4 linked regions of the Astyanax mexicanus genome follow. The protein of the gene in region 4 purifies or fractionates together with the protein of the main gene of each other region. This does not show direct contact. Links are inferred from orthologs where the notes say so. Each region holds a gene or a part of one and is shown on either strand. Other genes may lie near its edges.

The links.
Region 1: the proteins of kpna1 (region 4) and mau2 purify together in Homo sapiens (affinity purification with mass spectrometry; 3 studies listed by BioGRID and IntAct, with this or other methods). This does not show direct contact. The link is inferred for Astyanax mexicanus from reciprocal best matches to the Homo sapiens genes KPNA1 and MAU2.
Region 2: the proteins of kpna1 (region 4) and xrn2 purify together in Homo sapiens (affinity purification with mass spectrometry; 4 studies listed by BioGRID and IntAct, with this or other methods). This does not show direct contact. The link is inferred for Astyanax mexicanus from reciprocal best matches to the Homo sapiens genes KPNA1 and XRN2.
Region 3: the proteins of kpna1 (region 4) and nopchap1 purify together in Homo sapiens (co-immunoprecipitation; 3 studies listed by BioGRID and IntAct, with this or other methods). This does not show direct contact. The link is inferred for Astyanax mexicanus from reciprocal best matches to the Homo sapiens genes KPNA1 and NOPCHAP1.

Annotation. Positions count from the first base shown.
Region 1 is NC_064411.1:47,986,027-47,993,233, forward strand, and holds the start of mau2 (MAU2 chromatid cohesion factor homolog), read right to left. Parts: upstream 3,003-7,207; 5' UTR 2,741-3,002; coding exon 2,507-2,740; intron 1,379-2,506; coding exon 1,361-1,378; intron 1,061-1,360; coding exon 995-1,060; intron 154-994; coding exon 58-153; intron 1-57. Other genes in the region: sugp1 (SURP and G-patch domain-containing protein 1), read right to left, coding at 5,370-5,396, 6,044-6,173, 6,562-6,707, 6,915-7,021. UniProt on the Homo sapiens protein: Plays an important role in the loading of the cohesin complex on to DNA. Forms a heterodimeric complex (also known as cohesin loading complex) with NIPBL/SCC2 which mediates the loading of the cohesin complex onto chromatin.
Region 2 is NC_064408.1:83,918,551-83,925,436, forward strand, and holds the start of xrn2 (5'-3' exoribonuclease 2), read right to left. Parts: upstream 3,002-6,886; 5' UTR 2,851-3,001; coding exon 2,776-2,850; intron 561-2,775; coding exon 433-560; intron 349-432; coding exon 237-348; intron 1-236. UniProt on the Homo sapiens protein: Possesses 5'->3' exoribonuclease activity. May promote the termination of transcription by RNA polymerase II.
Region 3 is NC_064409.1:6,106,150-6,113,734, reverse strand, and holds the start of nopchap1 (uncharacterized protein C12orf45 homolog), read left to right. Parts: upstream 1-4,581; 5' UTR 4,582-4,661; coding exon 4,662-4,734; intron 4,735-7,568; coding exon 7,569-7,585. UniProt on the Homo sapiens protein: Client-loading PAQosome/R2TP complex cofactor that selects NOP58 to promote box C/D small nucleolar ribonucleoprotein (snoRNP) assembly. Acts as a bridge between NOP58 and the R2TP complex via RUVBL1:RUVBL2.
Region 4 is NC_064408.1:95,811,464-95,819,350, forward strand, and holds the start of kpna1 (importin subunit alpha-5), read right to left. Parts: upstream 3,025-7,887; 5' UTR 2,902-3,024; intron 2,284-2,901; exon of another isoform or gene 1,710-2,283; intron 1-1,709. Other genes in the region: si:ch211-161h7.8 (thiosulfate:glutathione sulfurtransferase), read left to right, coding at 6,191-6,329. UniProt on the Homo sapiens protein: Functions in nuclear protein import as an adapter protein for nuclear receptor KPNB1. Binds specifically and directly to substrates containing either a simple or bipartite NLS motif.

The sequences.
Region 1 (7,207 bases), on a different chromosome or scaffold from region 4:
CACTTGCTGTTAAAACATTGCAAAAAATGATGTAAAGGAATGCATGCCATCACTTACTGCTAGCTGGAATAACAATCTGCAGTGCCAATATGGAGTCTGCTGGGAGATCTGAATGGCTTTGCGTAGTAAAGGCTTAGCAGAATCAACCAAATTCTGTCAAGAAAGGAATAAAATGACATGGAATTTCTCAGATATAGACACCTACTCAATGAACATAAAGGGTATTAACAATGACTTTACCCCCCTTCACTGCAGTAACAAAATATAATGTGAAACTTGCCCAGAAGTGTATATGCTGTAACATCACTGTAAGAATTTGATGAAATTCAGCCACAAGAGAATCAGTAAGATCAGAAGATCTGTTGAATCAGCTGTTATTATTGTTCATCAATATTAACAACAATATTTACAATTCAATAAACTGTGGACTTTTAATGTCCAAAGTTTGGGTCCAGGGACAGTAATCTTAGACTAATGTGCGAGTGATCTAGATCTAGCAGTGGTTCACAACTCTCACTCTGGAGGACCCCATAATCTACAAAATGTAGTGTTTCCATCTCAAACACCACATTTACTGCTCAACATTATGTTAAATGCACATAGATTACAGGTTAAAATAATTTGCAGCAGCAAACAAACAAAACAAAAAAACGATTAAGTACCATCCAATATTGATTCTGTTCTTGAATATGAAATATATCCCCATTTTCCACAACAAATAATGACTTGAGGGAATGATAAGGTGCAACTTCCAAATCAAGAATTTGCATTTACCCAAACACTGATACTGCATGAATACAGAATCAACTCAGAAAGGGCTTGTAAATTAGCTGACAAGTTAGATCAGGTACATTGGGAACAGGACCAGGGTTGTAAATCGCTGTTCTAGAGCATCCTTGTTACGTAAATTTAGAAAAAAGCATACATACACTTCTGCAGACAGTGCAACCGTCCACAATACATTACGCAAAATTACACAAAATACAATTCTTACCTGTTGGCAATAGAGCTCCGAGAGGAGACTGGCAGCCTCAAATTTAACATCTTCAAACTGTGGGACCTGAGAACACTGGTTAAGGTTATATTTTTACTACAGATCTGACATGATTATAATCTCAGACAGCTATTTAACTGAAAGAACTGAAAAAAACACACTGAAGAAAGCCATTACTTGTGAAAACAAAAAGTTCAGCCATAATCTGTACCCTTCCTTTTGAGTTCTGCTTTAGGCAGTGAAACTGGAAGCTAATTGACAGTTTGCACAAGCACACACTGATTATACAGACATTTATACATATAACAAAGCTAGTCATCCAAATAAAGCGATTTTCTCCATTGTAGATGCATTGCAAAAGGATACTTGTTGCGAGATGCACCACTGAAAGAGATAAAGAAAGAATAAAAAAAGATAAATTAGTTATTAGGTACCTAGCTAGCAAGCAAACACAGTTAACTTACATCACCGAAAACAGCTAAGATTTACACACATAAACCATTCAAATAAACAACAGTAGCTAAGTAACTAACATTGAAACAGTTAAGAGTGAAAAATGATACACAAATATGATATTGGGACTAACTTACAGTACATTAGTTAGCTAGGGACTGGCTAATGTAGCATAGCTAGCTAAACTAGCTAGCTATAAGATACACTGAGAATACAGGAGTATTAAGGTTTTTTTTTTATACGTTTAAGACTTTATAATTCCACTCAACAAATAACAAAATAAGAACATGTTTAAAAGCAAGGAACACCAATATTAACTTCACAGACTAGAGTAAGCTAACGTACATCTCTGTATTTCCCCCAGTAAAAATTCAAAAACGACATTTCAAAGACGCATAAATTAGTTAATTGTTTAGCACACACGAGAAAATTAAGTTATGGTCCATTAGACATATGGTATTATGATTAATTGGGGTTATTTATCTTGATTTGTTAGTTAAATCACGTCAGCTTAGGTTAACTTAATTCAGTCTGCCTTTAAGTTACCGACAACTAAATCTGAAAGATGTTAAGCTAAGCTAGCTAGCTTAAGTTAGTATAAAACCTATTTTCTTCACTTTCTGTGTTGTGTAAGACTTTTGGGAAGATGTATTCAAGATATTTCAACATTAATTCAAGCTTAATTTTAAGCTAAAACCGTTTAAAACCTAATTTTCTAAGAATATGAGTAATATAGCTAGTTAGCTAGCCAGCTAAGGATCTGCAGATACCCTGATGTGTATATATAACCTACAAGCTAACTAGCGCTAGCTTTTGAATGGTAGCTAGCTTATGCTAGCTTTAGAGGAACATATAGCTTGTATAGGTACATTTAGGTTTGTTTTACGTGTATACTCTCTAGAAATAAGCTGTAATTATCGTTTACGCCCCAAACAACGTACTTAATGTGTCTATCTTAAAATTCACACAGTCAAAAGTCTAAAAAGCAGCACTTTCTGCACTGAGGCCTACACGCCCGCCTCTCCGCCGCATCCTCGGTGTTTCCTGATCTGCTCTTACCGCTTTTTCCAAATGACTCCGGGCCAAGTCGCTGTTCTTGGTGTGGTGGTACAAGACCGAGCCGAGCTGGAGGTGCGTTCGGGCTTCTACCCTCTGCGAAGGTTTAAACTGAAGCACAGCCTGGAGACAGTGCACACACAGACGTATTTTAGGTGGGCTCGACGTGCGAAAATGTTCCGCGAAGCCGAGCAGGGCGAGGTACCAGGACTCCGGGGCCTCAGCGCCAGTCGCCATTTTGACGACAATAACAACAAAAACAAGCCGCGGCCTGAACGGAGCTCCGCACAGGCGGCGAGAGTTCAGTGGAGTGGACTCAGGGGACGCTAGCTAAGATTTTACCCCCATTTCCAGCCTCTAAACTACTCTAAGAACTTGCTTTCCCCCGCACAGAGTCCTTCAGCTATCTACAATTTATCTGTACTCTCTATTTCGCTTATTTTTTCCCCTTTAAACCTGGTAAAAAAAGGGTAAAAAGCAGCTAAAGTGCTCTTCGCCGTCCCCCCACTCAGACACCCCAGATTCAGAAAGCAGATTCACACTCCTTTAGTGATACAATCCTCTGTTTCTTAGTGTTATTCAATAGAAATGACATTTATTAAGAATTCAGAGAGATTTCATAGTTTTTAGGACATATAGATAAAGATCATTTGTTGGGTCTTCACTACCAATGTAACATGCCTTTTGTGTTTATATAAAGTTCATAATACCAAAAGGACATTGAATTAATTGAAACATTAAAACAACTCTGTTCATCGTTATGGTTTTATTTATATATACTATTTGGTTGTACCGCCTTTAGCTTTGATTGTGGTACGCATTTACTATGGCATTTTTTTAATAAGCTTCTGCAATGTTACAAGACGTATTTAAATCCAGTGTTGCACTAATTTTCATCAAGATCTTGCAGCAGCATTGATGATGGTAGAGTCTGACTGCTGCACAAAGCAGCTCTTCTCCAGCACATCCCAAAGATTCTCAATGAGGTTAAGGTCCGGACTCTGTGGTGGTCAATATGTGTAAAAATTATGCTCATGCTCCCTGAACCATTTCTTTTACAACTCCAGAGCATTTTAAAATATGGCCGTGCCATCAGGCATGAAAAAAATCCATTGATGGAATATCCTGGTTCTTCAATATATTCAGGTAGTCGGCTGACCTCATTCTTTAAGCACATACTGTTGCTGAACCTAGACCTGAACAACTGCAGCAACCCTAGATCATTTGCTTAGTTAAATCCCATCCTTCTGCCTTTCTCTGAGTTATTGATACCGATGGATGATAATCTGGGAATGCCCCCGTACACATTAGGATTGTCATCCACTATCTAACCGCTCTGGTGGTCAACCTGGCATTATATAAATGTGGTTCTACACACAGATAACTATCATTTTCTGAAGTAAGGGATCCAACCAACACCTTGGGGTTGGGTTTGAGTGTTGCATGTGACCTTTGGCTCTTCCCCAAATCAGATCTGCCAGGGTCAGCAGCCAGACACTGACAATGTTGCATATTATCTGTTCTCCATAAATCTAGTCAAAAGTTATTCCATCTTTCTGCCTTTCTCTGACTGCCCAACTGTCTGGCCTCATACCAATGGAAGTCTTTGGAAGTCAGGCTTCCCAGTCACCCACCACAGATCAGCTTCCCACCGCCCAGTATATGCCACCTGCCTCTGATATGTTAACTCTCCACTACCAATTACATTAAAGTTTATATAAATTCTCATTAGAAATTTTCTAACTGTATGTGACTCATGTGGATGTATAATAACTTTTTAACATTAATTTATAAGTTGTCTGACAAGAGGAGGATGGGGCCCTTCTTATATATTAGCTATGCTTCCTCCCAAGGTTTCTTCCTCCTTTAGCTATGAGAGAGTTTTTCTTTGCCTTTATTGCTTACAGTTTCGTCTGATTCTCTGTTGACATCAAGCATCACTAAGCATGAACACTATAAAAGTAAATGATTTGATTTCAATGCAACCAAATCTTCACAGCACTAAAAGTAAAGTCTTTCTCAGTAGCCTATTGGTCTCACATTTGTGAAAGTCTAACAAGACTTAATGGTGACAGCATTAGCAAACATCACACAATGATGTGCGAAATAAAAATGAACTCTGCTTCTGGGGCTTCGTTTTGTACTATTTCTACTATTGTTGTGATGCTGCTTTTCCTTTTCCCTATATGTTTTACATGTGCTGAGAATTGTGGGTAACCATGGGATGTGAAGGATACATCAGTTGCATCCTCAAAATGAAAATATCCTTTTTTAACTGTATATGAAGCATCTTTAATTTGGGGACAGCCTAGTGACTAGGTTTCTATGTGGAGCCTGTTTAGGTGTTGTATGTCAGCAACACCTGTAACATGGTAAAACATAAAACACTGTGTTGGAGAACCATTTAAACCTTTATTTGAGGTCTACAGAACACATTACATTCAGTATATGACAACAAACAAGAGAGAAAACAGCTTTTTCACTGCTATAATGATGAATTCACTGTCAAGATACTGTCAAGACAATCGGCGCAGCTCAAAAGTTCAAGTGAAGTGTCCATTTGGATATTTGGAAAAAATACACAACCAGCTAAGATAACTCTGAATCTGAACTGTATGATTCTATGAAGTTGAAAGTTTTTATTTTTTAAAAAAGGGAACATGTGAAGGTTTGAGCCATTATCCTCTAAAATGTCTTTGAGCATGATCTACTGAAGCAAAAGGAAAAACGGGACATTTTCAAGTTCGGGCAAAGCATTAATACTCTGTAATACCATCACGGTGTGCATTTTAAACTGCACGTCCAAATGTCAAGGATGTCAAATATTAAAATAAAAAAACTACAGCACAATACAACTGCGATCCCTTCAGTAGTACGGCCTCCTTGGATTATTCTGGAGAGGGGAGAAAAAAAGATAATATCAGGACATAATAAAATAAATACTTAATTAAATTACAAAACAATGAGCAAATTAAAGGCAAGATTATTAATTAACGTACTGTTCAATACCTAAATATTGTCACAGTACTGAAGAATGGAAAAAATATTTTCAAAAATGGATTTGCATGATAGCAGCTATATATTATATGCAGATCATTTACATAACATACAAATCCCACTGGAAATTCTTTGTTTTTGTTTATTTTGTCTTTTGGCAAATGTCTGTCCACATAATCTGAGTAGCTAATTATTTCAACTTTTCCAGGATCTTATAAATATTTTCAGGACTTTTAACACTTCCTTTTGAGCAATTGCAAAAAAACTGGAAAAGTACTGTCAATTTTAAGGTTTTCCCATTTTTCTAGAACACTGCATTGTAATGGTTCATAAATAAAATAAATAACATACAAATTCAAATTTCATGATGATTATTTGATCTCTTGGGACAGTGAAAATGCACAAAGCATGTAGATCATGAAATACTACATTATGACTACATTCACCTATGTTCTGTGTTGCTCAATATATAAAGAATAGTGAATTGCAGATTCAGGTCCTGTGTGAATAATTCACACAAGCAAGCCTGTGCTCTTTACTGACCAGGGGATTAGGTCTGAAGCGGTAAGCCAGCATCATTCTCTTGCGGAAGGCGTCATACTCGTCATCATTTTTAGAGAGTTCTGCAGGTCGGTCCACTCCAAACCCTGCGCCGTCTACTGCAGTGGTTCCCCTGAAAAACACAAATGTGTTTAAAGCCATTGTTTTTTTCTGAAGAACCCTAGAAATCACATAAAGTAATATACTTGATAAAGAGCTCAGAGAGAAGCATATTTTACTACAGCAAAGAACATGCAAACACCTGCAGAACACAGGAATCTGAAGTAGAAATTGAAGAAATGATTGCCTATGTATTGGTACTAGATGATGTTTAGCCGAAATATGTGACTGGCTGTTGAACATCAAAGCTGGTCATGTGGGTGTATATGGGTGTTTATCATATTGACAGGTGAGACCAGCAATCAGTATCAGCCCCAGAAACACTGATCTGCCCTTCTCTTATCTGTAGTGTGAGAATTTAAGAAACTTTACTGTTGATTAAAGCTTTTGATAATTTTCACCTGTTAACAGGGTTCTTGATGCCCTGGCTTTCCGAGCCCAGACCTTCTCCTTCCTTCCAGCCCATCTTCATCAGCATCTTAAAACCAATGTTCTCCACTGTCAACTTGAACTCCTTATACTCAGAGTAATCTGGATCTCTGCCCTCCTACAGATCACAAAGACAAAAACAATATCACAGTCAGTTCAGATTCTTTTTGTAAACACCTTCAGACATAGAGCAACAGCACACAGCAGGAGGATCAATGTCTGAGGGGGTACAGCAGCACCATAAATATGATGTATGCAAAATAAAAAGTACTCTGAATACACTCTGGAGTTTAGCAGCAGGCTTTTATCGTTTTGTTAATCTCACCTTTAGAGCCTTAAATGTCTCCATGAACTTTTCCAGCTCGTCAGGTGGCAGAAAGTCACCAATGAAATGCTTCCCTTTCCCCATCTCAGTCAGCTGCTCTGCCCATTCTGCTCAGGATAACAAACAAATATAAAAACATTAGAGATACAATGAAAGTCGCAGGGTGCATATGATGACATTCCAAATAAATATATAATAATAATATTTAAAGTAAATACAGGGTTCATATACATTTTAACCAATAAATTTCCATGATATTTTCATGACTTTGCCTTCAAGGCAAATTTACGATC
Region 2 (6,886 bases), about 12 Mb from region 4:
ATATAATAAGCATCATCAATAGGCAGTTTCCTTAAAAACTGCTTATAACTGGTTTTATAGCACACAAATTCTCTGTTCCAAAAGTGCCCCAAAACAGCTTTAATCTTTTTTTTTTTTTTTTTTTTTTAACTTTGTGCTATTTTATTATTTATGGTACAGTGAGATGATGTTAGCCTGGAGCCCTGCTGCTACTTGTCAAAACTGAAAATAACATTTAAAAATCAGACCATACTTACAACTCCATCGATTGCCATGTAAAGAACTCTCCTCGGCCGAACGATGTTAAAAAGCCGATCAATGTACTCAAAAATGGCAACCATCATTTCATCTTCATTTTTCGGTGCCGGCCTGAAAAGTAAAGCAAACATTGTCTGGAAAAAATACTGACCATCTTTTTTTACATTTATCTTCCAAGCTAATTCAGATACTTACTTGTCTTCAGGATGTGTACAAGGATGGATGATTCCATTCATGTCCAAATAGAGGTTGTCAAACTCCACCTCATTTGGGTTGGGTTTACTGGTGTCAACTGGTATTTGAACTCCATTGCATTCCTTAGACTAAAAAAAGAAAGAAAAACAATGGACACAGTTACTTCCAAGTAAAACAAAAGAATGTATGCTACACTGTATACATCGGCATAGGGCATTGAATTAAAAAAAATAATTAAAAAAATGTGCCATGAGTCTAATGTGGTGGTTTTACTAACTGTTTGGTCAGTTCATTGTTTTAACTATGTATAATAATAAAAAAAATGTCTTTCATTATGCTATTTTATTATGTAATTTAATGGTCGTTAAATAATATTGTTTATCAAAATTTTTGGTACTATATATGGTCCACTTGGTGCAGCTTGGTATGATCCCTGGTGTACTATAGGTTAGTTAGCTTCTTTTGCAAAGGGGTGTTAAAATGGGGGCCAAATTCCAGCACGCCGTTAAGTAACTAGTTAGTCAATTCCCCTGCTCTTACAGGCCTACTAAACATGACTGTTAACAGGTGAATGGAATCAAGTGTGCTTGAGTAGGAAACACACGTGCAGTTTACTTGTTACTTGCTACAATTTAGGTGCAAATTATGGCAAATAACAGGAAAAAGTGCACTGGCAAACTAGACAAAAAACAAGCTCATAAGTGATTTGTATTTAAGTGGTTTTGGTCAGAAACTACAGAGCCCCTAAGGTGACGTAATGCAGATGTTCTAAATCTCTCGGAAGTTGCAGGAATCTACTGTATATAAATAATTGCTCCCTGATCCTTGCAAGTCAGATTAAATCTCCCAGAATCTAAAATGAGTGTCCCAGGAGTGAATGCAAATGTGCAAGCAGCCGACCAAGACTTTTTTTCCCCACAAACTGAGAGGAAATTGTGTTTTGCAGCTTGGGATGTCTACTTTATATATTATAATAATAAAAATAATAAATGTATGATCACAACTTAAGTCGTGGGAACAAGATAATTAAGTTGTGGGAATGACTTACATGGCCAGGATTTAATTATTTCGTTAACACGTTATGGTCACACACTAGGATCTCATTTCTGCACCCTCATTTTTAATGTCTATTGCTGTTACCTTAGGGGCTTAGTAGAAACACACACCGGAGAAATGCTTTTATTTCTGTTCACTTGTGTTTTCCTCTTTATTTACAATTGTGTGTTACATCACTTCTGCATTTATATGTGGCTAAACTAGAGACTCCTGTAGGTTAATAGTTTTTAATTGGAGAGTTTTTGACAAGACCCCAATTTAGAAAATCAGATTTTACAACTCTGAAATACGAGGTTTCGCTGGATCTCATTTCAGCGCCTTAAAAAGTCATGGCTAGGGGTCATATCTTATTGTGTGCAATAATACCTGCAACATTTTTTAATTTTATGAATTAAATCACCAACCACTAATTATCACATCAGGGTACTACTTTTTTAGCAAAAAAAAAAAAAAAAAAAACACAGCACACTGTTCTCATTTCCCATGATATATTTACTACAGACAGATAATATTATTTACTTTACTTCAGTCCTGGATATATGGAGATATCTGGAGTCCATTATTAATATGAGACTGGATCATTAACTTAATTTAGAAATCTGATAAAATACTAGTATATTTTTTTATCTCTCAGTTAGGGATGTGCCATATCATATCGTATCCAATAATAAAATATATATATTTATTTTGTTGCAGTAACGTTAGTGTTTAGTTTAGTCATATCGCCATGAATATCGTTTTTTGCAAAAAAATACCATAAAATATCGTGATATTATTTTAGGGGCATATTGCACACCCCTATTGCCACGCGTTTTTTCTATATATTTTTTTAACGCTAACGTTAGTTAACTAGCGCCTAGTGAATAACTAGCTAGCTAAACATAGGTAACATAACATTTCCAGCATAACATAAAGGCAGAGTTAGCTAGTTTAGCTTAGCTTAGCTCTGGTTAGCTGTGAACAGTTGCTGTTTGAACGTAGACATTAACGTTTTAGCTAGTTAGCTTAGCAGTATCCTCAGTTAGCTAACGCTTGATTATTTAATTAACCGCTGTGTATCAAAAGACTCCGTTGTCTCAGAGACCGTTAACAACACCACTCAGCCCGTTAGCTCCAGAGTTATGTTAAAACCTGGTTTATTAAACTGCCTACAGACTCTAACCTACATATATTTCCCCCTAGTGTTCTGTTAGCTAACTAAAAAGTGCGTGTTATTCTCCACAGGGCATTTCTCCTCAGCAGCGTTAGCCTATTGCTAGCGCTAGCTGTAGCATTAGCTTAGCTTACCTTCTCCTCCAAACAGTTCACAATTATAGACGCATATTTCCGACTCAGCCAGCGGAAAAACGCCGGCACTCCCATCTTCTCTTTAAAACCACGAGTTTAAACTGACCGTGTTTTTAAAATAATATATCTGTGTGAAACTTAAAAACAGCTCGGGATGAGTGGGAGCCTGTAGCGCAGCGGAGCAGCGTGCTTTTAACCAGCTAAAGAGCTACAGCTCAAACACAGGCCGGGTTTATTCCGGTTCAAGAGCAGCAGCGGCGGAGCAGAGCAGATCAGCGCGCCCCCCACAGTCTCAAACACACAGCTACATCCACTCATTCATCAACCTGACCAGATCACACCAGATAGTTAATTATAGCGGGAGTCCTGCCTTTCTCAAAAACATCACACACTTAAAAAAAAAAATAATAAGCACACCATGCTGACCAGCTTAGATCATGACCAGTGTTGATCAGACTAAGCTAGACAATTTGTATAAGTAAGCTTGACCAGGCATGAGCAATGAACATTAAATGTGTTACATACATGTTTTGGTGGATTACAGCTTTATATGTTTATAATAGACAACCAACCATTATTAAACATTGTCTCATAGTAGGGCAAACTCCAGCAAGCTTAAGTAACTAGTTAACTAATTCCCCTGCTCTAACTGGCCTACTAAATATGACAGTTAACAGTTGAATGGAATCAAGTGTGCTTAAGCAGGAAAAGCACTTGCAGTTTGCTTGTTACTTAATGTAGAGTCAAAATATGGCAAATAACAGGAACTGCATTGGCAAACTAGATGAAGAAACACAAATTTATGCAGCTTTTAAATCCAACGCTTTGGAGATTGTAAGTATGATGTGATTTGTATTCGAGTGGTTTTGGTCAGAAACTACAGAGCCCCTAGGAACCCATGATGTAAAAAGAAAAATAATATTATAATGTGTGGTCACAATTATTAAGTTGTGGGAACTACTTATATGGCCAGTATTTAAGCATTTTATTCCCACGCCTTAATAACTCATCCCAACAAATGTATTATCTCATTTCCAAAATTCCAAATTGATCTCGCCTAACCTGGCCACGCATTAGGATCTTGTTTCCGCAGCTTAAAAAGTCATGGCCACACATTAGGATTCTTGTTCCCACACTGTAATAAATTGTGGCCACACATTATATTGTTTCTTTATTTTTATTTTTTTGATTATGCTGTTACCTTAGAGGCTCTGTAGAAACACCACGAACCCCCCGGTGAAATACTTTTTATTCCTATTCACTTCTGTTTTTCTCTCTATTTACAATTAGGTAATGCATTATTGCTGCAATTATATGTGGCTTAAAAAGCTAGACAACCTGTGTGAGTAAGCTTGAACAAGCATTATATATTCTTCAAATAAATTAGCGATTCTCGATTATAATAAAGACTTAGTTTGTACCATTTAAAGTGATGTGCAAGCTATTGTTTAACAAATAGTAAGCAGCCCCCTTCAGCCTTACATGAAGCTCTTATGAAAATAAGAAAATAAATACAAAGAGTATAAGGGTATAAGTATAAAAATACTAAAAATATATAATATAAGTTGTATTAAATATAAGTTTGATACAAAAACCTATATAAAACCATAACATTGTATCAGTGCATTAGAGAAAATTTTAAGTTTATTTAATCACTTTTTGCTATCTGGGTATGCTGGTCAAGAGCTTACAAGCTCTTTTTCTGACCAGCTAAGGCCATCTTGAATATTGAAGACCATCCAAATCCAACTACTTTCAAAAGCTGGTCTTAAACTTACATAGGTACCCTAATGCTGAATTTAATAGTTGCTGCTATTTTTGTTGCAGCTCAAAATTACAAGTGGTTAGGATCAGAGAATCATTTAAACTGGAGGTTGATGAGACGAACCTTAAATATTGATACGAAACAAAATAACAGATTCTGCTCACACTTACAAAGACTACTTTTTCTTCATGCCCCAAGCAGGGGGAAGAATCTTTCCAGCATTCAGGTTTACCCATTTTTGTGCACTGACTAAATCCTGTACTACATTTCTACATTTTACTAAATCTGTTTTAAAATGTACACTTACCTGCACTATGCCTTCCTCTTGTAAATATTAAATGTTTTCAAACTGGAATCACTTTATTATTTTGTTGTTGTGGAAGGGATATCACTTAAAATTGTGTCACTCTCCTCATTTCACAGTTAACCCAATTAGACAGTGAGACAGTTCATGTGCAGGTCAGCGTCATGGTCATGCAGTGAGCATGGGGCTAATGTGCTTTAATTGCATTTCTAGTAGTGAGCTGATGCTTCATTAACAGGCATGGGATTATATATGAGGTTCTTGGTATAAGACTCATTTCTATGCAGAGGCTTTGATGTGGTTGATGCATATGCAGAGACTAGTCCTTATCTTCTTTCTCTCCTCATAAGTGAACAGTGTGCGCTCTCTTCATGTTACTTCCACGAACCCATGTTCATTAATGCATCCTTTTGTACACATATTTTAAAGTACCACACACACAGTTTGTCTAATTAGACGATGAATTAAACCAAATTCCTAAAGCACATTAAAACCATAGTTCAATGGAGAGTCTAAATTATCATCCCCTTCCCCTCGTACTATGTCACAGTGTTGTAGCATATTTGCTTGTGTGATTTCTAAAATAAGGACCATTTAAAAGGTTTTTAGACATGATAACAGCACGTATGCTATTTGTGTATGCTGTGTATAATTCTGTTGTTTAACAATGTATCTCAGAGCCCTACTGGTTGGACAAAATTAATGCTTGTACTTCTTGTATTTAATGTTCTTTTACTACAGTACCCAAGGTACAGAGCCCGGGAGGGGCCGTGGATAAAAAAAATAATTAAATCGAGTGAACGATATAGCAGTTCTGTACCCAAGATGCACCACACAAATGCATGATAATCTCCCACAATAGTGACTAACATAGCCATAGCATTCTGTAGTCCTACGCCCATATTTGGAGTTCCGTGTCTAGGCTTAATTGCGCAATGAGCAGAATGAATGGGGTCTATCACAATCTGTGATTAATAAATATGTTCATAACCATATATGTTTTATTCTGCGTACAGTTTTCTTCTGATTATCACTGGATTTTCTGAACTACGAGATTGTTTAAGAGTCGTAATAAGAATTTGCTACAGTTAAGCTAATGCAACAGTAATTGGTAGCTTTTTTCATTTTCTATAGGGTTCTGAGCATATTTATTTATTTATGTGATTGAGGTGATAAAAAAAATTCTCCCCATTGGAAAATTTAGCTTACACACGGAACACCAAATGTGGGCATAAACAACATGGTGCCCACTACAAAATGACATATGTCTATTAGTGCTGCTATTTATTTAAACGTTCCCCCACCTTCAAGATAAATTGCAGCTCCACTGTGGGACATAAGTATGCATGTTTACGTCAGAATAAGGGATGGCTATGGTTTTCATTTCGGCCAAAGTGCCACTTTAAGTATATGATGGGATCTGTCAGGGCAAATAGACTAAAAAAATCATGTTAATCATAACGTGTTTTACAATTACAGTCTTCACACAAACTGAAAGCGTCCACTAGCCATTTGAAGGCACTCCTATTACCTTCAATAGTAGAGATGATCTGTTTCAAGAAAACTGTCTCAAAACATGGGTTAAATATGATGAAGTGAAGGAGGTATATCAATACAAAAGAACATTTTAAAAAGAACAGTGAGCGCATAGGTTGTTAACAATGTGAACATTGTATGTACACTGAAAAAAATCATGTGTTGGATTTACTTAAAAAAATCAAGGCAACGTTTTGCACCAATTTTTTTAAGTAAATTCAACTTGATGAATTTTTAAGTAAGTTCAACTAAAAATATTTTGTTACACCAACTCATTTGTATTAGACTCATACAACTTAATATCAAGTCAGTCCAACTCAAAGAAATCAAGCTCAATTTACATATTCACCTATAAATATTAAGTCAGTCTAACTCAATGAAATCAAGCTTAATTTATATATTCACCTTTAAATATTAAGTCAGTCTAACTCAATGAAATCAAGTTTAATTTACATATTCACCTTTAAATATTAAGTCAGTCTAACTCAATGAAATCAAGTTTAATT
Region 3 (7,585 bases), on a different chromosome or scaffold from region 4:
CATAATGAAAACTTGACCGAATGATCTCTGAAATGTGATACAATATGTACACAAAACACAGCCTATAATAACACAGTAATACATTCACTCCCAGCCACAGGTCTTAAGAGTCACTTTGAGGAGGGATGGTCACAGGAACACAAACACTAACTTATTCATGAACGCAACAAATTACCTGTGTGCCTTGTGTAGGCTTACATATAATAACAGCTTCCACTCTTCTAGGGTGTATTTACACTTAATATTTAAACAGCGAACACACAGATCTGGAAAATATGAAAAGACCACCTCAGTTTCTGTATCAGTTTCTCTGATTTAGCTATTTATAGGTATATGTTTGAGAAAAATGAGCATTGTTGTTTTATGCTTTTATGCTATATTTTCCCAAATTCCAAATAAAAATATTGTCATTTAGAGAATTATTTGCAGAAAATGAGAAATGGCTGAAATAACAAAAAAGATGCAGAGCTTACAGGCCTCAAATAATGCAAAGAAAACAAGTTCATATTCATAAAGTTTTAAGAGTTCAGAAATCAATATTTGGTAAAATAACCCTGGTTTTTAATCACAGTTTGTAATCATGCATCTTGGCATCATGTTCTCCTCCACCAGTCTTACACACTGCTTTTGGATAACTTTATGCTGCTTTACTCCTGGTGCAAAAATTCAAGCAGTTCAGCTTGTTTAATGGTTTGTGATCATCCATCTATCTCTTGATTGTAGTCCAGAGGTTTTCAATTAGCTAAAAGAAACTTTTTTAAGTGGTTTCCACTATTTTTTACAGAGCTTTAGGATCTGATATGATTCAACAACAACAGTTAATACAGTTTATATCCTCCAATAAATTAAATAAGCTCTGTTTTTGACAAGAAAAGATAAAACCTCTCCAACACAACGCAACACTGCACAGAAGAACTGAGCACCTCCACTTCTGTGTCTGTGAAACCTGTTTTTGCTGTCACATGTTTGGCTCTGCTATTCTGGATGGCAGTCAAGCAGTTGTTTGTAGGGGCTTTCTAGATCATCCAGATATGGCTTTGACTTCCACAGTTCCCCTTAACTGACATTTATTAATGACACTTCCGACAGTAGATATACTTTACTGTATTTTGAGACCAGACTTCACACTAAGTTTCGTGTCTTTGTTACAGTGTGTATATTTGGTCTGGTTAGTTTTGGTTTCATACTGCAGTTTATTAAGCGGACTACAGAAGTTTAAGCTACCTATGGAACCTTCCACTATACATTTTCCTCCAAACTGTCGACACACCATCACTGCACTAAAGATGTTCAGCCCCTCACACAGGCATGCACACACAGCATTTCCTCTTTCAAGATTGGAATAATAAAATAAATTGAGTTTGCAGGCCTAAAAATATCTTAATTATGATTAATCACAGACTTGTTGTGTGACAATTCTTATTTAGTTTATTTAAGAAAAGCTACATACTTAAATGGAAAACATTTATATGGCTATTTAGTACTTGTTTAATTTGTGCTAAAATGTTTTTTTTTTTACCATTGTATTAATTATAATTAAAATTTATTTAACTTTAAGGGACAACCTACATATGTTCTTTCTTTTCTTACTTATTTACTGCATTGCTAATATATCAGATTGAGACTTGGTATTGGCAGATAATCAAAATCAAATGACTCGGGAGTCTGGGTCTAAAAAATGTGATTGGAACATCCCTATTTGCTATGGTATGGTATGGTGTGGTATGGTGTAATAACCAAAACTAGCAGTCAAGCGTGTCTCACACCCACAAGTCACACCCACAAGTCTATTCCATCTATTTATTGACTCTACAAACAGGTTTTTCCACTTTGTAACACAACATGGTTAGCGGAATGTGGTTGATCCAGCTAACCACGTCAAAATATTCATATACTATTATATTGTCTGGGGCATGTTTAAGAAATATAAAAACAATAAATATTATTTAAAATTATGCATACTCCTGACAGAAAAATAAGTCCCAACCATATGTAAAATCCATGCAAAAAATAAAATAAAAATAAATAACATCATACATACCATGAAAACAACAGACTCTTTAAGAAAAAATGTGATATAATTATTTGCTCGTTCCGCACAAGACTAGCCTACACCCCATATACAAAAAAAAAAACCTTAGTAATCTTGTGAGAGGAAGTGTGTATCAGTCATTAACATGTGTAAATCTGTTAATAAACACTTGTGCTGCATCTAAATAAGATATTGTCTGTTACATCCAGCTAACATTTGTAGTCAAGCCAATTGTAGTCAAGTCTTATTAACAGATTATCAAGACAATTTTATTGTCAATACTGCATATCGTCGCTGTACAATGAAAAACAAGTATTTCCAAAACAGCAACTTTACAGCAGAAAAAAAAACATTTTAAACTTTCAAAGGAAGTCAATGTAAAAAGAGTTTATTTCAGGGCATTCTAAAGAACTTCTATTGGTCTGTTCATCTAAAATTTTCGGACAATGTAAGGGATAGTTTGTTTATTCAAATTATGTAGTTAAATAAAAATACAATTATATGACACTACAGGGGAGAAACGTACAGCAAATACAGCAAAATAAGATTATTAATGTAAACTAATGAGAGACACTGAATGTACAATACAACAAGGATACAGATATATACATTAGGGCTGCAACAATTAGTCGATATAATCAACAATGTCCTTATTAAAAAATTGTCAACTTTAAATGTTCATTGTTGACTAATCGACAATTTGGAGCACTACACAACTCGGCCTGCGCCCAAACACAACAGATTACACATTTCCTCACTAAATAGCAGAACTTTTTCACAAATAAATGACATTTAAATGAGTTAATCTGGAAAACCAATTTTCTTAGTTTAATTCTGTTCCTTCAACTTTATTGATTTAATTTTTTTCAAATGTTATAAAAGTAAGTTAGTTTCTGGCACTTCTACAGTACAACTCACAGGAACTATACCTCAAACATGGCGGCGTTTTGGGTGACTGTCAACGACCGAACTATTAAGCTAAACACACTGTTAGATTTAACAAGTTAACAAGTATTTAAGGGCTGATTTGAAAGGATGAGACACAAGCCAGCTCGGCTATAAACAGATAGCGAGGTAAGCTAGTTAACTAATACCCAAAAATAAGTTTATTCTGTCTGTTTACTGACTTTACAAACAGGTTTACTAACTTTATAACTAATACAGTGGTTTAACAACTAAGTTAACTACATCAGCCAGCTACCCACGTCCAAACAGACACAGGCTAACTAACCTACTGGAGTCGCTAACTGCTGCTGCTGCTCTTTAGCTAAAATGAGCGCTAACAGCCAAATAAACAGCCCAGCTCTGCTCCCTCACACTACACCGACTCCTGCCGCACATTCCGACCCCAACACAGTTAATAACAGCCCGGTTTACTGTGAGAAAAGCTCGTATTTACCGCTCAGACGCGCAGCTTCTCTCCAGGAAGATGAGGCTGGAGATGCAGCAGTCCGGGCACGTCACCGCAGCAGCGTCCGTGAGCACCGCCACTGCGCATGCTCAGAGACATGTATACATAAAGAAGCCGGAGCTGGCGTTTCAGCCGGTCGCCATATTGGATGGGTCTCGCATGCGCCCTCTGTGCAAGTGTGCATGTATTATAAGATGACTATGGAATGTTTTTTTTCCTTTAGATTATTTTGGCAATTCCTCTGGCTTTTTTCTTTTTTTTCCCTTCTTCCTTTCTTTATTTACTTATCTTTGACATTGCTGATATGTTGCTGTTACTTCTTGTTTCCTGTTTTAATTAATCACTGTACCTATTTGTATTAAAAAAAAAGTGTGCATGTATTAGTATTGAGGAAGGTGTTTAATACACCTATAATAATCCCGATTTTCACACGGTTTGGTTAGTTACAAACGGCATAGATGTAGTAACGTTGTTTTATGTGTGAATCATTATTTGTGAATTAACATATTCAAAAATATAACTTGATAAACCAATACACTTATTAATATGCCATACTGCAATGATTAGTCAATTATTTAATTTGTCGACTACAAATTTCATTGTCGACTACTCGTTAATTTGCAACAATAACGCATTATACAAAGTGCCGGGGACAGAAGCGCAATGGGAGATGGATAAATGTCTCACTCTTACAGTTTTTACACTTAACTCAGTCTGTGTCCCCAGACACAAAAGATTACATTTTTTAATCACTTAATATCAGAACTTTCCACGTTTAAACATTTAAACATTTAAACTTTTAAACGGTTTTTAAATATCATGTTCAGCTGTTTCTATTGTTTTTAGAGATGGAGGACATGGCAGAAATAATCGTATAAGTGTATTAAACACCTTCCACAGCGCTAATAAATGCAACTGGAACTGACTCCTCCAATATGGCGGCTGATACGCCAGAAGGCAGACTATGCGGCGTCTAAGTAAACAAATCTATGCCTGTCACCGCGCATGCTCACGACATCCACTCACTATAATAAAAGTCCCCTTAGCTTCTACACCATAGGCATCATATCTATGTTCTTTTCATTTAACTATAGCTAGAGGGCGCTCAGCAGCAGAGCAGCGCGTGGGGCTTTTTCACCTTTACCCCGGAAGCAGTTCTTGCTCAGTAAACAGTGTACACATGCTGCTATTCAGCAGAGAGGAGCTACAGAGAGAAACATGGAGCAGAAAAAGAGCAACAACACGAGCAAAAACACCTCTGGAGAGCTGCTGCGGTGCGGAAACGGAGAAGGTGATTTAACGTATCTCCTAAATAGTAAAAAACTAAAGGTTTTATAACTAGATAAATATCTAACTAACGAGCTGCTGCTCCTCTAGAACTGTGTTACCAACTGATACAACATAACGTTAGCTACTCAAGCTAATGATCTAGATCAGTTTAAACGTTTCTGTTTGTTTTTAATGATGGATATTTCTTATTTGGGTGCATTATACTGTCTGTGCTTATTGATACTGTTTGCTTAACGCTTACAGAAGTTTATCTGTACATATAACGCTGCACGTGGCATCAAGCTTCTTTAAATTAGCACAACTAGCTAACCTAACTAGCTAATCAGAACATAAATCATTTAGTTAACGTTAATTCTACAGTTAACTCCGGACAGTTTTGACTGTAAAAGTAACATTATAGAGCCACTAAGGCCAAAACCATTTTTTTTCTATTAATAGCTGAAATGTGCAATTATGAAGTAACGTAAATAAAACATACAACAGTCCTGCTTAAAAAAAAGTATTATAAACATTTCCTAACCTTTTAAAGGTCTTATTCCATTGTTTTTCATTCATTTTAAAATGTCTAGTTGTGGTCTCTAGTATGAATGAATGCCATGTGAGCCGTTAGTTTTTTTTGTGAATAAAAAAAACGTGCTCAGGTGTTTCTGTTTAGCCCTGCTTTATATCACTGGATTAGAGGTCTCTGGAGAAGGACAGAATTTCGGCTCTTGCTCATGAATATTCATACATGCAAAAATATCGCCTCTGATTGGCTAACAGCACTGCAGCAGAGATCGCCAACATGCCTTTGCCCAAACGGTCAATTTTACAGCTGTAAAACTCAAAGGACAAAATGTTTTCAGGGATACAGCCTTAGTTATTAAGATATAGAACTGGGTGCTGGGTAAAATTAACCCTTAAACTTCGCTTAATGTCAGTCTCTTCCCAAACCAAGGCCGAGGCACACAGGTACTTTGGTACACAGTCACAATATGGAGATCAGTCAATTAATAATACCACCCTCTTGCTGACGTCCAGACATCTTATTCTCGCTGCAATCAGACTCACACTGCTGCTGCTCAGCCAATCAGCTCTCCCTCCTGCCCTGCCTCTAAACCCATACATCACCCAGTGCCCCTCCCAAACTACTCCTCCCGAACAACTCCTCACAATTTTTAGCCTTTTTTAAATGTAAGCTGAGCTGTCAGCAAAAATCAGGGGGTTTAGTACTCCTTTAATGGAGAAATCTGTTGTAAAATGTATTTGGAGTGAACTGAAACATGCTAACAAGTAGGAACTTTTATTGAACAGCCCTCTTCCGTTCACCCCCAGCTTTCTGAAATACAGCCCTTTTTTCACTACAGAACACAAAGGTGTCCAAGAGAACCTTTATTTGCCCTATTTTGACTCTTTTATTTATCTCAAACAGTGTGAAGTGCATTAAATAACTGAAAAAAAGTTTCCTAGTATGCCATTAACAAGTTTAAAGTATCGCCACATTTTGAGGGACCTGGATTTTTAAAACAAGGAGAGGGGAACAGACATGCATGAGTGTGATAGAGATATTTTCTGCAACAGCAGGAAATTATGCATTTCCACAAAATTAATTTTGCAGTCTGTTTACCTATCCTACCTATTGTATGTGCTCATCACTCGAGATATGGCAACTTAGTTCCAAAATACCCTGGTATCAGGGTTTCTCACAGCGCATTGTGGTTAGGGTGGGAGCTATACAAAAAAAAAAAGCCTCCCTAGCCTTAACTTACTTGTCCACCCCCCACTTTCCCATCAACAAACTGTGAAGCTGTAAATCGGGATCAAATCAATGCAGGGGGCATTTGTTGTTGTCAAGGCAGCTGCTCTAAGTAGCTACAACACACTGCAGGAAACCCTGGCTCATATAACAGATTATCAAAACTCAACAGCCAGTTACCTTAATCACTTCACACACTTTAAACAACCGCATTTGTTATTAAGTATTAAATACATGTGTGGTAGTAGTAGTTTTGTTGGTCATTGAGTGAAATATATACACTATATATACTATATATATATTTCATAATCATATTTTTTCAGTGAATTTTCATTGTTTATGTAGTGTTCATTTTAAATGTATAGTTCAGTGTATACACAACATGACTTTACAAATAGCAGAAACAACTTCATATAAGGATTAGAAGGGACAGAAACACTAAGGCTACGTTCAAATTACAAGCCACATTGTGCTCAGATCTGATTTGTCTATCTTGACGGTTAAAATTCATAAATGTAAGTGATCTGTATCTGTGGGTAATGTGAATAAATCTGCATCTGAAACTCCTCACTTGCTGCACACTGATACCTGTATAAACGTCTCCTTCTTCACCAACAACAACAAAAAAACTCATATTAGAGAGAGGAGAGACTCGTAGCTTTATAAAGGGAAATGGATGAGTTAGCAGCTCATATGTGGAGCATCTTTTGCTGGAGTGGAGAGTAAACAGCTGGTCTGAAGTTCATGCTCAGGTCAAGGCAGTTTGCTTTTGCTGTTTTTGCAGCTTTAGCTGCACAGCTGCACCAAGAGATGTGATGGTACGAGAGAGGAGCACATAGCGCTATGAAAGTGACTCAAATCTGATTTAAAAAAAAAAAAAGGGATTTGGCATGTTCACACAGTGATTGAAAAATCAGATCTGAGCCACATTGAGCAAAAAATCAGATATGAGTCGCTTCAGTCTGGAACTTAGCAGCCTAAATGATCTACTAAATTATACTAAATTAATGTATTAAATTACAATGTATTTAGTTTTAATTTAATGTTGATAATGGTCTAAAAATTAACATATTATCCTCCTTTCAATAAATTCCCTGCAGGAATTCATGACAAGCTC
Region 4 (7,887 bases):
TTTTATGGGACATTGTTTTATGCATTGGTCTTTTGTGGCTGGCTAAATAAAGTATTAATATTTATTTGTAATGTTTATTTGTATGTAAACAAACACGCAAGGAAACACAGAGGAAGATTCTAAGGTCAGAAAAGTGTGAGGTTTTCAATGTACTGTATGATTCAACGTAAATATCCTGACAGGCCCATAGTTAATAATAAATAAACAAAAAAATATGGTTATTCAATGCATTACATCCATGAATACAAAAAAACAGATTATTAGAATTTCCCCTACTGTTTTAAGTGGTGAGTGCATTCACAATATGCTTTTAATGTTTTAATGTTTCACATATTAAATATTTCTGACCCACCTGGCAACAATTTTGCCCTCTCTTCCTCACATTTGGGCCTAATCCTAGGCCTTTGCAGATCAACAACTAAATCCTAAAGGGTGTTCCACATTTCTTGCAAACAACACAAAGAATGGTGAGACTGCCAGTGAGCAAAATAATTCAGGTTATGTTTTCTACTGCTCCTGGTTCTGGTTTTCTACTGGTTTACACGTTGCTTTATACAACCCCCTAAACATACCTTTTTGAAAAGCCTGTAATTTTCTCAGTAAACATTTAGCATCCTGAGGGACAGTGTTGTGATTCCCCGACCAACATTATTCCTATTTTCAACAAAGAATCACTAAAGATATTGCAATTTAGTCCAAGACCAGACCTAATTAATGCTCAAGAAATAGGAATGGTTTGAGATACTGGCAAAGGAACATTACTTTACAAGTTTTGGTAAAACAGTAGACAATAACAGATTACATTACCCATGAATCTAAACACTTAGTATGTTGACACTGCTACAACTGAAGAACATATCTAGAGACTGTTTGCTGAAGAGGGATTAAGTTTGTTCACAGATTATATTTTTCTTTCATTGGAATTTTTCAAATTTAAATGCTTTGCAAGCATTTGGGCTTTATTCATTTCTTAATAAGGAGAACTGTCCCTTATATCCAGGGTTGCAAAAATCTTTACAGATTTCTGTTTAGTTTTTTTTTTTTTCCTCTTCTGTCAAGTGGACCCTACTGGCAAATGTTACACTCTAAAATATTTAAAGTGAGGTTATTACTATTCCCTCAATTTCAGTTTAATAAATCATTTTCTGAATTTAATGTGGTTTAATTATGTTTGAGTATATGAACATTGTGGTTTTATTCTATAAACTACGGACAACATTTCTTCTAAATTCCAAATAAAAATATTGTCATTTAGTGCATTTATTTGCAAAAAAATAAAAATGGCTGAAATAACAAGAACAAAATATGCAGACCTTTCAGACCTCATTCTCAGACCACATGACATAGAAATAGTTCAGAAATCCACATTTGGTGGAATATCCCTGGTTTTAATGCAATTTTTATGCATTCTTGGCATGTTCTCCTCCACCCGTCTTACACGTTGCTTTTGGAGAACTTTATGCCACTCCTGGTGCAAAAATTTAGCATGAAGCACAAAAATACTCTATTACACGACAACAAGTGTAACGTTAGTGGTGTGTAGTGACCTCAGAAGCAACCAAATCTTAGATCAACAAAGTCAGAAAATTGTCCAGCAACGGTTGTCAACTGAACAGTAGGAGCTGGAGACAGTAACACGTTATTTATGTTTCACAAATAACAAAGGTATAGATCATAAAAAGGAAAAATAAAGCCAAGAAAAGACTTACAGGTATCTATGTAGACTTTGACACTACGCTTGAATTCGATGACGCCAATTCAGTGCGGTATTTCTCCTAAACTGCTGGTTAACCCCAGCACCAACAGTCAGAGACAGACCATCAGCCCTGCTGACCTAACTACATAAACAACCGTCGCTAAAGCTATCGTAGCTTAGCCTCGCCAGCTGACGCTAATCTGCCCCCCCCACACACACACACTCACAGCCACAGTGGATGACGTCCATGGGGCAGACATGACCACCTTAGAGGGATGTTTGGCTAGGAAATGTGTGCTAATTCGAGTTACAATTTGTGTGACAGTATATGCATAATATATAAAAAAGTGATAAAACGAGTAAGGACACAGCTAGCAACCCAGGCAGCTTAACATATATGTTAGTTATCTAGCTAAGAGGGCAACATTTAATAGATGGTAAAAGCTAGCATTAGCTAACATAGATTAGATATCTTAAAAACACAGCGACCTAACGGACTTTTAAACCTAATTATTTAGCTAACCTATGTAAAATTATTACAAGTAAACAAAATATCATGAAAAATATAACTAGATAGGTTAGATAACCTAGCGTTAGATAGCTAAAGCTATGTTATATAATGACATAAAGAAAACTGTAACGTTAGCTAGACAGCCTAGTTAGCGCAGTTAGCTAGCTAGCAAGGTAACGTTAGCTAGAAAAAGGCATACAAAATAAATGAGAAGGCAAATGTACCTACGCTTGCTAACTGTTAGCTACCGAGCTAGTTTTTAAGAGTTTGTGAAGGATTGGAAAAACAATCTAACTGATACAAAATAACGGCTAATCTGCGGTCTCAATTAAAAAAGGTCTTATCAATGTGGAATCTGATCTAAATCAGTACTAAAGCCTAACTGTCACCATCGACATCATTAAAAGTGGCTACACCTGTAGGTAGATGAACTAAACTATAGTGGATTAAATATAAAACTACAGAAATGTGTTTCCAGCCTTGCTGGACTCGATGTTCAGCTTTTTCGAGAATAAAGCCCCGCGGCCCCGGTGTGCGCATGCGCCACAATCAGCCGAACGGAGCCGCCTCGCCGGTTGCTCTCTCCTCTCCCTCTTGAATCCGATTTTCTGAAGCTGTCTGTCCGGTACCGAACGCGGCTCGTGTCTAAATATATGACCTCGGTCAAAAATTTTTGCCTTCTTATGACACTGACCTGTTTAAAAGCCGTCCCCGTTTACCCCGTCGTCGGTTTGGGCTGCTGATCCGGAGCGTCTGACCGGTATTGCACTACTGCGCATGTGTGACTGCGGAGGTCTGAGCTCGACCTGCGCATGCGCGTTGCTGTATATTAATAAAACGCTGGTTTAAAATGTAACCCGCTTTACAAAAAAGCCAACAAGCACAGTAAAACACTGCGTCTCTCTATATGCTGTATTCTAACCGTGCATACTGATAGAACCAGCTTTTATTAAAACTTCTCTACTGATTTACAAGAAGAACTGGCCGTCTTGGTCCCGCCTGGGGTTGCCCGAAGACTTTCAGTTTTTATGCATGTAAAGTGTGCATATTCCCAGAGGTGTCAAGTAACTAAGTACAAATATTTTTTAGGTTATCTATACTTTACTGAAGTAATTCTTTTTCTGCCGACTTGTAGCAGCTTTTTTAAACTGCATATTTAACCTGTATGAATGTTATATATACAGCTCTGGGGGAAAATAAGAGATCATTTAAAATTTTAAGTTTCTTTGATTTACCAAATTGAAAACCTCTAAAATAAACAGGAAGATGGATGATTACAAGCCATCAAACCAAGCTAAACTGCTTGAATTTTTACATCAGGAGTGGCAAAACGTTATCCAAAAGCAGCGTGTAAGACTGGTGGAGGAGAACATGTCAAGATGTATGAAATCTGTGATTAAAAACCAGGGTTATTCCACTAAATATTGATTTTTGGGATTCATCTTGCTGGAATTGTGAAAGAGTGGTTTAGGGAGCATGAGGTCATCATTTTCACACATGGATTGGCCACCACAGAGTCCAGACCTTAATCCCACTGAGAATATTTGGGATGTGCTGGAGAAGATCAGTGCAAGACCTTGGTAAAAAAAATAATGCAACACTGGACTAAAATTAATCTTGTGACATTGCAGAAGCTTATTGAAACAATGGCACAGCGAACGCGTGCCGCAATCAAAGCTAAAGACGGTCCAACCTAATAATAGACTGTATGACCTTTTGTTTTTGGTGGCGACCTTTTTTGTCCAGGCAGTGTAAATATACGTTTTAAATATATGTTTGGTGTTATCATTGAGTTTTATAACCGCTAGATGGTGCCACTAACCTACACGAGTAGTGCGGTGTGTTAAAGGTGTCTGATGGAAAACTGGATTTTATTTTAACAGAAAAATATATTTTAGAGGCAGAAAATTGAGCTGTACAGTGTAGCACATGATGGGATTTAATATTAACACTAGGACAAAAGTTGCCAAACAATTCCCATAAAATTACGAGAAAATACCATACCTAATTTAACAATTTGTAACTGTAAAATGACACAATTTCTTTGTGTATATTATTTGTTTATGTTAGGGCCATAATTGTATATTGTTAATAAACATTCTTAAAATGTAATAAAATAAATAAAACACTGCATTAATATATGTTTCATCTAATTATTGTATTTTAAGGTGAATTCAGTTTAACACCCTTTCAAAACAGAAGGATAATTTTTAAAAGCACTAAATGAATTCAATGCTTAAATGGGTTTTTATATAAAGTGCAGTGTTATTTCTGTAATGTTTTATTAGCACTTGAAACTGAAAAATCTTTATATAGCACTTGAACTTTTTCACATTTTTTTCACGTTACAACAACAAACTTAAATGTATTTTATAGAGATTTTAAGTAATAAACCAATACAAAGTAGCACATAATTGTGAAGTGAAATGAAAATAATACATTGTTTTTTAAATTTTATAAAAGAAAAATATGAAAAGTATCCAGCCTTCTTTACTCTGTACCCCTAAATAAAATCCAGTGCAATCAATTGGCATCAGAAGTCACTGAATAAGTTAGAGTGCAGCTGTGTGTAATTTAGTCTCAGTATAAATACAACTGTTCTGTCGAGGCCTCAGTGGTTTGTTAGAGAACACTAGTGGACAAACAGCATTATAAAGACCAAGAAACTCACCAGACAGGTCAGAGATAAAGTTATAGAGAGGCTTAAAGCAGGGTTAGATTATAAAAACATATCCCATGCTTTAAGCATCCCAAGGAGCACTGTTCAATCCAACATCCAAAAATTATTATTATTATTACAAATTATTGCAAATGTATTTTGGTGGCAGCGTGAGCCATGTTTACTAAGAATGTTTACCCGTCCCACCCGTCATAATTTATAGTTTATGTATTAGTAGTAAATCAGTGTTTTAATAGATATGGAACTCTCAGACCTTTTTACAGCCAGAGCTTATCAATTCACCTTGATTTCAGTTTCTAATTTATCTTCTTTGAATGATGATTAAATCAGGCAAACAGTGGAAAAACATGAAGGTGAAAGTATGCAGTATAATAAAAACATTTACCTTTTGTAAATTTAAAATCACTGGCATGCATGTCTAAAGAAATTATACCCAAAACCTAGTCCACAGAGCGTTTTAATACCATTAAAGGCCAACAGTTCTATGTGATAGGTCTAATCCTTAGATGTCTGCACCATTCAGGAACCCAATAAATTGTTTATTATTAACTTAAAAAGCAAGTGTTTCATGTCACTATGCTCAGAGAAATGTTAGTTTAAATCCCAGAGCATGCTGTTTGTTTTAACAACTGTACTCTAAGAAAGCACAGTTGGTCATGCTAGTGTGATGTTGGTCAGCAAAGGCATCTGTTGGCTGATGTATCAAAGCTTGGGAGGTGCGCTTTCCTCAGAGTGGGCTGGCTACCCAGTGATGCTAAATCAGGTCAGTTTAAAAATAGGCGGTGTCTAATGTATGCTGCTTTATAGCATATATGTTCTATTTTTAGATGGCTTATTCTCAAACATTTTTTTTTCTTTAAAATTAGGTCAGGGGAATGTGAAGGACAAACACTTTTTGTTTACTACATAATTCCATACATGTCCCTTAATTGTTTTGATGTCTTTGAAATTATTGTACAATGTAGAAAATATATTAAATAAGGAAAATAAAGAAAAACACTGAATGGAAGGTGAGTTTACTGGTCCTGTATATTTTAATATATATTTATCTCAGCAGCATGTTTTTGTCTGGAAGGTTGTCTTAGTTGAACCCTAATAGGTGGTGGCCAATAGTCAGAATGTACTGTTGCTCATTAAAAGCAGTGTGTGTGTATTAGTATCCTTATCTTAGGTCAGGGGGATGTCTTGTTCACGTTAACTATTAACAGACGCTAGGGGGCAGCATTCACACTGCGCTATAAAGCAGTCGGTCTCTGCGCTCTGTGGCCTGTGGACCATAGTTTGCAGAGAGACCCCAATAGAAATGACAGTGTTTCCAGCTTTGCGGCGCATCAGTGCTGCAATTAAACCAGTTTTCTCCGTTTACTGCCATGGAGGACTCGCATCTGTCCGTGGACTGAGAACATCAGCTGTCAGCTTCAACCCAGATCCATCTAATCCTGGTAAAAAAGAGTGTGTGGGGGGGTCTCTTTATATTGGCAAAAGATTATGAATTATTCATCAGTGCCCCTCTGATGAACTTTAAAAAAATATATATATATATAAAACATAATTTACACAAGGTAAATTGCTATAAACAAATAGCAGGAGATGTTTGGAGCTGTATAAGTCTCTATCTCTTTCTGTGTGGGGGGTCATAGGGCATCTTTACCAAGGGCTGTATCCTTATCATATCTTGTAACTTGCTGATGTGGGGCTCTCTGCACTTCTAAACAAATGAATGAACAGTTTCTACTCATCTTCTGCTGTGGTTGTGTTGGAGCTTTTATAGTATGTGCTGATCACAGCAGCGTGATTGTTGTAGAGATCAGTTGAGACGGCCGGGTCATGGGTCACACTCACGTTTTATCCTGAACAGCTTTTTGTCTATCTCTCTCTGAAGCTGCTTCAAAAGTTTTACTACTACTTTACATGTACATTTACATCTACTTTTGGTCCACAGTACAAAGTTATAAATTACAGATGTCATACACACATAGACTTTTCTCTCTCTTTTTTTAAATATTTTAAATTTAAATATGCCATCTTTACAGACAAAAGAAATAACCATGTTCACAATGAAGGTCACAGTAAAAACATGTCATTTTAAACCATTTGTATTGGTTCGTTATAAAATATGGGCATAAAAAGTAAAAAACAGCATGTGATAATGTGATTTTTTTTCAAGATTTAAAGTTAATTAAAACATTTACTTTTGACATTTTTATACATTTAAAAATACATTTATTTCTGTTTTTCTCTTTTTACATGTTAAATTGAGTAAAACACAATTTTAAGAATAACAGTTAAATGTATTTTTACTTTAATTACGTAAGTTTATTTAATGATGGACTGAGCAAAAGTAAATTAAATATATACAAAATTCCTACAATTAGCTCAAGGTATAGTTTAAAGCAGTAATATTTAATTTCTTGATTTCATACTCCCCAAACCGTCATGTGTAATTTACAGTTTAAACCAAGCCAGTCACGCTTTACTCACAAATTTGTGTGATATGGTGTAATGCAGGATTTTACACAAACAGGATCCTGCACAATTCCAATGTTGCATCACACAGTAACAGCATGCTGAACCTGGAATACCAGCTATTAAAATGCTGTTCTCCTTATTAAAATTCAGATATTTTTATGAGCCAAAACAGCTCAATGAATAAATCACTAAGAACTCGTTTAATGGTGTAAACATTTATATAGTAGTCCAGCATTTGCCAATCTAATAATTTTACAGCTTTTACAGCTATGTTTTACAACATATACAGCTCTGGAAATTTTTAAGAGACAACTTCAGTCTCTAAATCTGTTTCTCTGATTTTACTATTTATAGGTATATGTTTAAGTAAAATGAACATTTTTGTTTGATTCTATAAACTACAGACAACATTTCCCCCAAATTCCAAATTAAAATATTGTCATTTGGAGCATTTATTTGCAGAAAATGAGAAATGACTGGAATAACAAAAAAGATGCAGAACTTTCAGACCTCAAATAATGCAAAGAAAAC